2 linked regions of the Neurospora crassa OR74A genome follow. The protein of the gene in region 2 interacts with the protein of the main gene of each other region in a biochemical or structural test. Links are inferred from orthologs where the notes say so. Each region holds a gene or a part of one and is shown on either strand. Other genes may lie near its edges.

The links.
Region 1: the proteins of NCU08046 (region 2) and NCU03876 form a complex in vitro, tested with the Saccharomyces cerevisiae proteins (4 studies listed by BioGRID, with this or other methods). The link is inferred for Neurospora crassa OR74A from reciprocal best matches to the Saccharomyces cerevisiae genes TIF35 and TIF34.

What each region holds. Positions count from the first base shown.
Region 1 is NC_026506.1:1,994,930-1,999,203, forward strand, and holds NCU03876 (eukaryotic translation initiation factor 3 subunit 2), read right to left. Parts: upstream 2,652-4,274; 5' UTR 2,390-2,651; coding exon 2,340-2,389; intron 2,213-2,339; coding exon 1,615-2,212; intron 1,483-1,614; coding exon 1,090-1,482; 3' UTR 607-1,089; downstream 1-606. Other genes in the region: crf4-1 (chromatin remodelling complex ATPase chain ISW1), read left to right, coding at 2-139; NCU03877 (C-1-tetrahydrofolate synthase), read left to right, coding at 3,695-4,274. UniProt on the Saccharomyces cerevisiae protein: Component of the eukaryotic translation initiation factor 3 (eIF-3) complex, which is involved in protein synthesis of a specialized repertoire of mRNAs and, together with other initiation factors, stimulates binding of mRNA and methionyl-tRNAi to the 40S ribosome.
Region 2 is NC_026504.1:4,018,390-4,022,830, reverse strand, and holds NCU08046 (eukaryotic translation initiation factor 3), read left to right. Parts: upstream 1-1,762; 5' UTR 1,763-1,832; coding exon 1,833-1,858; intron 1,859-1,914; coding exon 1,915-2,169; intron 2,170-2,325; coding exon 2,326-2,974; intron 2,975-3,178; coding exon 3,179-3,403; 3' UTR 3,404-3,917; downstream 3,918-4,441. Other genes in the region: NCU08047 (hypothetical protein), read left to right, coding at 1-885. UniProt on the Saccharomyces cerevisiae protein: RNA-binding component of the eukaryotic translation initiation factor 3 (eIF-3) complex, which is involved in protein synthesis of a specialized repertoire of mRNAs and, together with other initiation factors, stimulates binding of mRNA and methionyl-tRNAi to the 40S ribosome.

The sequences.
Region 1 (4,274 bases), on a different chromosome or scaffold from region 2:
GAACAAAGCGCTAGACAACGTCAAGTCAGCGTCCGGTAGCAAAGCCACCTCGGCTGCCCCTTCGCGCGCGTCAAGCGTGGCGTCGACGGAATCGAAGGCGACAAAGGGCAAGGCTGCCCCCAAGGGAAAGAAGAAGTAGACCGCCTGATGGTGGTCCAGACCAAAAATACAAGCTACGGCACATGTATTGACTTGGCTTGGTATTCGAAGCTGTAGTTGCGTTTCATATGACTGGGTTAGATTGGGTGAAGGGGCTCGGTTCACCACTGAGAAGAGTCCAGGGAGGGTTAATGCAGTTGGCTCGCGGCGTTTCCGTTGTGTCGTATTCATGTTGCGGTCTCGGTGATGGTTATCTCACCTGCCGTCATTTAGCGAGGGATTTCTCTGCCTACCTGAGGAACAAAAGATATCCTTTTGGTCAAATCCGTTCTCTGATGGATGAATAGGGCATGATGTGCGCAGTCTTGTACTTCCTTTACCCCTGTATTATTGTTTCCACTTGTGTTGGATTCTTATTGACCATAAGGGAGTGAGTAAGCAATTGGCGAAAGACCTCTACTTATAACGTCCAATCTGATATCACATGAACGAGGTTGCGCAAGATAGTAAGCAGAAGAACGACCGAATTCAACTATGACAAATGACTCTTCTGTGCTTCGATAGGGACCAAAGGTTCCTTTCGTGACAAGATGGAAATTACATATCCGCTCTCCGCGCGACTCACTTGTTCGTTCGTTTGCTTCACATCGAACCGCACCACCTCATCGCTCCAATTTTTGCTCCTTTTCACTTTTTTTTTCACCAAATATTGGGTGGAATCGCCCAAATTCTCAGATTAGGTTGCCTGAAAAAAACGCCGTTTGTGAAATGCCCATTTCCCCCAAATTGTTGGATCCCTGGACGCGCGATGTAAAATAACCCGTTTGCTCATTTCCTTCCTCCGACAAGTCGAGAGAATCCTGAACTCAATAACACGACACCCATATTTCGTCCCGCGAATCGCCTTTCCGCCCCTTTCTGCCGCCCCTCCTCGGATCCTGCTTGCTGAAAGTCCGAAAGTTTCGATCGATGTCGATAGAAGGGATCCGTTTAGGCAGAAATGGTCTGCTGTTGTTGCTGGTTGAGCTTGTTTTGCCTCTCCCTCTCGACCTCGTACATAAAGTCAAAGTAACCCTTGTCGAAGTGATGGATACGGACGTAACCGTCCTCACCACCGCTGGCGTAGCTCTTGCCGGTCGGGTCGGCGGCAACCGTGTTGAGGGGACCGAAGTGACCGCGCACACGACCAATTTCGCTCTCGAAGATCTTGTGGTAGAAACGCGCCTCGAATTTACCCTGACGCGCGGAGGTGGTGGTGACATCCATGGCAGCCTGACCACCACCGAGAATGACGAAGTCCTTCTTGCGAGTGATGGTAGCGCTGTTAAGAGGGGTGTCGGCGGGGTAGGTCTTGAGGACCTCCAGGTCCTTAGCTGTGATGAGCTGTGAAAATAATCAAGGAGTGTTAGCATGCGATTGACTGTTCATTGATTTCGGTTTTAAGGATCCGGGAAGAAGACCAAAGAAAGAAAAAAAAAAGGGGGGGGGGGGGGGTTGTGGAGCCATGTGACATACCTTGGAGGTCTTGTCCTTGGAGGCGGTAATGAAGTATGTACGGTCGTGCGACCACTGGAGATCGGTGATGGGCTGGTTGAGCTCGTGGATGGGGATGTTGTAGAGGAGGTCGCCGTTCTTGCCGTCGAACTGGGAGACGGAGCCGTCTTCGTGGCCGGCAATGATGTACTTGCTGAGATAACTCCAGCCAGCAACAGTGGCCTTGCTGTCCTCGCAAACGATAGTCATGGCCTTCTCATCGCTCTGCTCGGCGTCAACATCGAGCTTGATGTCGAGGACAACGATGGTACCCAGATGACCCATGCGCTTCTCCGTCACACCCAGAAGCTTGCTGCCATCCTCACTGAACTCAACGCGCTTGACGGCGGTAGGGAAGTCCCATGTCTTAAGAAGTCTGCCGGTCTTGATCTCCCAAAGGCGGATGGTGTTGTCGGCAGAACCAGAGGCGAGGATGGTGGATGTGGGGTCGACATCAATGGTCCAGATGGCGCCCTGGTGGCCGTGGTATGTACCGAGACGCTCGCCGTTGTGCGCGAACCAAACGCAAATCTGCTGGTCCTTGGAAACTGAGAAGAGCAAATCACCGTCGCGGTTGTACCTGTTGGGGGTAAAGGGTTGCTGTTAGAGGCTGCATCTCTATATGCCCGACATGCCAAAGCCAGAACACCAAGAGGGGTCGGGTCGGCGGGTAAGGTATGCGATGATGATGCGGAGGGAAGACGAACTTGATCTGGGTGAGGGCACGTTCGTGGCCCGAAAGAAGAATGGGCCTCATCTTGATTGTGGGTTATTAAATATGACGAGGCGTGGACGGCGGTATGGAAGTGTTATGGTCGTTAGAAGACACTGAGTGGATTCGTCGTCGAGAAATATCGCGGGGGGGGGTTGCACGACTTGGGAGGTAGGTGGGTGGATTAGTGTCTTTGTAGATGCGGTCGTCGTCGTCGGATCGGTCTTTGGTGTTCTTTCTTTGGGTGGATTTCCACTCCCAGTAATTTTTCCGCAGATTGTGCGCGATAGGCTGGCTGGCTCTGGCGGATTCTGACGGCCGCGGGGCGAACCAACACCTATCCCTGCAGATGCCAAGCTGCCCCTCTCCAGTCCCTCGTCCCAGCCAGCCGTGTGCCATCCATTGAAGCTGCTGGTTTCAGTTCGGACCGGACTCTGGACCTTGCGATGCAGCCTGCCACCTCGATCCGCCGCTCGCAGCCTGCCGGCCCGTCGACAGCCACCGATAAGAAGTTGTGGCTCAGTCTGTGACTCAGAGTTTAAGAGTCAGCTGTATTCGTCAAGCCTGTGCCGCGGCCGCAAGCCACACCAACTTCAATCTAGAACAACGACACAGACAGGACAGTGCGAGCACATCATGATCCGAGCTGCTACCTGCAGCAAGCCGAGAACTTGTAGAGTCATGGATGCAGCATCTAGACACCCACTTCAATTGCAGTTATATGAATGCCCTCTTCCGGGGGTCGCATCGAGGAGGAAAAGTTCTTCAACTCTCGGAGATTTGTAGACGGAAATAGAGGCTTTTCTAACGAGACATGGTAGGATTCTTGCAAGAATGCATGGTGAATACGTACTATTTTGAGAAGCTTGGGTTTGGGCTCTATTCTATTTAGGTTATCTCATTGGCTTCACGTTTTGTTGTCACATTTACACTGGTCATTTGCGGCACGTCTTGAGACGCTCACCTTCGGTGACTCCTCGAGAAGGGAAAGAAAGAAAAAAAAAAGAAAAAAAAATCACAAATCACGAAACCTCTATTCCCGCCAGCAAACCGGCGATCATTGGATCCTCGACATCGATCCCCCGTCGTCTACCTAGGCGGGAACCCATTGTGACTCTTCTGTGCGGCGCAGAAAACCCCTGGGTCCCGAATCCGTCTGGTCCCACCCCGTCGTGGAGGTGCCCGGGGGCGTCGAGAGAGCTTGGCCGGGCGGAAGTCTTGAGCTTCTGAATATCCCTTACCCCGAGCCTGCGTCCGCTGCTGTTCAGTGTGATGTTGTTACAGCACGCACGCAGAAAGACCACTGCACCCTTCTTCTAGCTCTACAGTACCAGTCTGCGTCGTGTAGGCATGGCCATCTCCAGCTTCATCCAGAGGGTGTCTTCCACGTCAAGGAAGTCGCGTCGAGCCGGAAGCTGTCTCACATCCCTGTCCGCACACGGGTCGCTGAACACACGGCGGCGCATTCAAGTCGAGCATACGGGACAAGACGTGCTCAAAAGATGGACATTGTCGTGGGGCACGGAATCCGACTCTCGGAGCTCTACCTCGGCTTTCGTCGCCTCTGCAGCTGGTACCACTGACTTCTCCGCCGCCCCGCGATCCACCTGCAGCCGCCCTAAGAAATCCCGTTATTGGCGCCTATCTCCAGTGACGGGGCTTACGGGGTCGATTCTGGTGTCACCGTCATGCGCCGGGGCAGCAGCTGCTAGCGATTTTGGAGCTAATGCGCTGCTCTCCCCCTCATCTTCAACTCTGCCTCTGCCTGACACTTTACCCTTTGCACCATCTTCCTCCTCCCGCTTCTCTCACATTCAGGGTCCTGTCTCTCGATACGCTGCTGCTTTTGGCCATCCGCGCAGCTCCATCAGGACATATTCCAGTTTAGCTTCTCCCAGAGCCGCAACAAGGGAGCCTGAAGCAGCAATGG
Region 2 (4,441 bases):
CAGACGTCGAATCATCTCCTCGAAATGCGTCTCGCCGCCTCTCATCCCCTCTCGAGTTTGAGCACGTGGAATTTCGATCCCAGCAGCCCTTCGAGCTCTAGCAAACGATCCAGCCAGCGTTATTCGCTCACTAGGTCAACAAAATCCCTCCCGGAAGAGGAAGTTGAACCATCTTCTCCACCTCCTCCGCTACCTTGTCAGATGCGCGGCGGTTCACGGAGACCCCCGCCCTCGGCTCTGTGCCTCAACTCACGCCCGCTCTCTTTTGTGGTGGATCAACCGTCGCCTGAATCGCCGTCGCTTGATAGGAAAGGTGTTTCAATCGAAGTAGCTGATGAGACAGCACCGGAACCGGAGTCCCTTTTCTCGTCTTGGGGATTGCCGGACGCAACCAAGCAACGTTGTGACAGCGGCGAGGACTGGGAGAATCTCTCTCCCACACAACCTGTCACACATGGTAGCCCTGAAAAGAGGTCAGGCTATGCTCCTCCATCATCAGTGGCTTTCCAAGACATGCTCAGATCCACTCCGTCCGTCGGCGATTACCCAGGTAGCCCATCGAAGCGCGCCGATAGAAGATTTAGTCTGCAGTCTCAGCTGTCAGAAAGGTCAAGCGAACCTGATCGCAGTTTCCTTGATCTGAGTGACCTCGGTGACGATCTCGGCGACCTTCCCCAGATATCTTCAACTTCACTTTCGAAGCAGGGCTCGAGACCCGCGCCCCATTTTAGGTCTTTGTCGGTTGCCAACGGCGGCTTGGGTTCGCGACGGAATAAGACACAGCTGGCGGAAGGTCCCCCACCTGCTCCCCCGCCGAATCGTGCCCTTCCTCCAATCCCGAGAAAATCGTCACTTCAAGTCTGTCACTCAGCATATTCACCTTGAGCTGTGATTTGCATTTACTCGTATCTGGCGCCATACCATCATTCAACGCATCGCCATTTCTGGACGTCTAGGAAGCACGACCACTGAAGTTTCCGAGTATCTGTCAGCGACAATACTTGCAGAGCAAAGGGCGCCTGGGGATTCAACTGATAGAGATAAACCGCCATCGAACCGCTGATTGACTCCGTCACCATTTCCTTTGTCTCTCTTTTTTCAAGGTCGGGTTCAGTCGAAAAACAAGATACCGGTTAGATGGATGGAATAAGGATGCAGGAAGCAAGATACTGGATACCCAGGTGATGAGGGTACATTTATACCACCGGCGACATCCGGAACGTAACGTGTGAACGATCTCCTTTGTCAGGTCGATTTGGTGCGGGATTTGTCTTTTTTTGCCATATACCTTGTATTATGTAATGTTGGGGTACCTACTGTGTATGTAGGTGATTAATTGAGGAGGTGAGTGTGGTGGGCATGAAGGGCGGGGTGGTTTTCGATTCTCAATCGGAGGAGGGGGGTCACAGAGTCAGAAGAAAGCTGGTGCCCGGCAGGCTCCGTGGCCAACTTAGATAGCAGTGAGTTTAGAGCATCAGATATGGATGCTTGGAGAAATCTGAATCGAGTTCAAACTCTCAAACTTTAACCTCGGTGCCAGCCATCAACTTGCAAACAAAGGTACCTACTATGTACAACACGTCCTGGTGTCGAGAGAGTTGAGCTAGCTCCATGTTGCGGCGCCGCGCCCTGCCCCTGGTAGGCCTGGAGGAGCAACGTTCGGGTTAGGGTTGTGATGCCTGTGATGCCCCCACTAATGGATGCGAAGTGGAAGCAACCCAAAGCGGATAATGAAAGAAGGGGCAAAACACCTCAACGTATACGTCTGGATGCGACCAGTCCTGCTTTGTCAAAGAACGAAGCTTCGTTTGTAGGGAGCCGTATTGGCTGTCATGTGCGAATCTGCTGCCTTGATATTGTACGTAGGATAGAGCACCGTTAGCTGCCAAACAGGGCTGATTTCCTGAGTGAAAGCCGAGTCAGCAAGACAATTTTTGCCCCACACTCAAATATCCAAAAATTCCCACCTCCAAAAAATGGGGGGGAAAACTGCCCTGGCTTTTCAAACTTGAGCCCCACCAAAAATCGCCGCCAAACCAGCGCAACGTCAACCCATCGCGACGACAACCCACGGCCATTTCAGTCATCCACCGCACCCATCACCAGACGAGCCGAACCTGCGGAATCAAAACAACCACATACTGTCAAGATGGCTGCCGTTCAACAGAAGTCAGTACTCCTCCGCTTGCCTCGACAGCAAACGCCCGTCTGCATCCACGCCCCCGATTCCCCCGATTGCCATTTTTCCGGCGTGCTTCACAACCCAACACGTATGCATTTGATTTCTCGGAGAGTAAGAGTCTAACATAGTTCGCGACCATTCAGGCACGACTGGGCCGACGATGACGAGCTCGAGGAGACCTCCACCGAACTCCCGCCCCCTCAGAAGATCACCAACAAGGATGGCAGCACGACCATCATCGAGTACCGCCTGAACGACAACGGCCAGAAGGTCAAGACCACACGACGCATCCGCTACATCACCCACCGTGAGGTCGTCAACCCCCGCGTCGCTGAGCGCAAGTCGTGGACCAAGTTCGGCCTTAGCGTCAAGGACGGCGCCGGCCCGGCCCCCGACACCACCTCGGTCGGCGAGAACATCATCTTCAAGCCTTCCTTCAACTGGCGCCAGGAAGCCAAGGATGAGAGCAAGGACCCCAACGCCCAGGCCATGAAGGACAAGTTGAAGGACAAGAAGGTCAAGTGCCGTATTTGCAACGGCGAGCATTTCACCGCCCGCTGTCCCTACAAGGACACCATGGCCCCCATCGGCGAGGCCGGCGCTGCCGCCGACGTCGCCGCCAGTGCTGCTGACGAGGCTGCTGCCGCTTCCCAGGGTGCGGCGGGCGCGGGCAAGAAGGGCTCGTACGTGCCACCTGCGCTGCGTGGTGCCGGTGGGGCCGCGGCTGCTGGAGAGAGGATGGGCGGCAAGTACGGCGAGCGCGACGATCTCGCCACTCTCAGAGTTACCAACGTACGTTTGCCCCTAGTGTCCCCCAAAAGGACGCGGAGGAGGAGGAGGAGGAGGAGGTGGTGGTGGTGGTGGAGAAGAAGAAGAAGCAGAAGGAAAAGGGAAAGAGGGAGTAGGCGACAGACTTGCAAAAGCTGCTCTGTTCTGCTCCTAAAGAGGGGTTATTATGACGGGACTGATTCGTGCTAACATGTTTTCTACGCTTAGGTCTCCGAGATGGCCGAGGAACAAGAGCTTCGCGATATGTTCGAGCGGTTCGGTCGCGTCACTCGTGTCTTCCTTGCCAAGGATCGCGATACGGGTCTTGCCAAGGGCTTCGCCTTCATCAGTTTCGCTGATCGCAGCGACGCTGTCAAGGCTTGCGCCAAGATGGACGGTTTCGGTTTCAGACATTTGATCCTTAGGGTTGAGTTCGCGAAGAAGGCTGCGTAAACTTAATGGGTCTTCTAGACGGACGAGGAGGCGGAGGAGAGGGAGGAAGGGGTTAGAGGAATGATGGAAGAAGCAGCGATGTTTTGGTCCCTAATGCGGTCTGCACAAGGAAGTGCGTCATCAAAATGGGAAAGGACTCTTTGATACTACTATTACTTGATCTGGTTCCTGTCTCTTCTTGCTGTGGGGGTTCATACTAATGGGGAACAAGCGGCAAAATTTGTCATGATCGAGAGATTTCTTCCGCCTTTTAAGCATATCGGGCCAGGGTGGCCAGGTGGTTATAGTTGACTTTTGTTACATGGATGACGGGCTAACTCCAGGTTGAACAAGATCGGTGTAATAGACTGGCAACATGCCCGGACTACAGGAGCCCAAAACGCACCGAAGCTCTTCAGAATACAGTGTGGTCTTCTTGTCGATTCAGGGCGCATGCCAGTGTTTAAAACAGCTGACAGCCTCTCTGAACTCTTGAATTATTATCAGTGCATTTATCTATCCCGCTGAACGTCCCTGGCATCAAACATTATATTACTTGGTGACAGAATCTGTTATGATGTCCTATCATCAACTCAACCGACCAATCGCAAAGACCGTAAGTTCCTGAGCTCTCTCAAAGCAGCCGGCACGTCCCTTCATCCTCTTCATCTTCCTGTCTCATTCATCTCATCACCGTAAAAGTCGTTCATCCCTCCGCCCTGCCCTCATAAATCATGAAGTCTTGGAAGATGTCGACAAAGAAAAATGGCTGGTTGCCTATAAGAGAAATAAGAAACAAATATCACTCGAGAATGAAATGAAAAAAAAAAAAAAGGGGGGGGGGGGGGGACATTCGGCGCAAAGAAACCTCAGCAACAACACCATGAACACACAAGAACAATAGCCTCCCGCCCATCATAACCCCTACACCTTCTCATCCCTAGACCTTCTTGCCTTTCCCCTCCTCCTCCTCCTTCGGTCATGATCACTCTCTCCATCAGTATCATTCCCTTCCTGCCTTTCCTTCTCCTCCTCATCGTCATTCTCGCTTCCATTCAC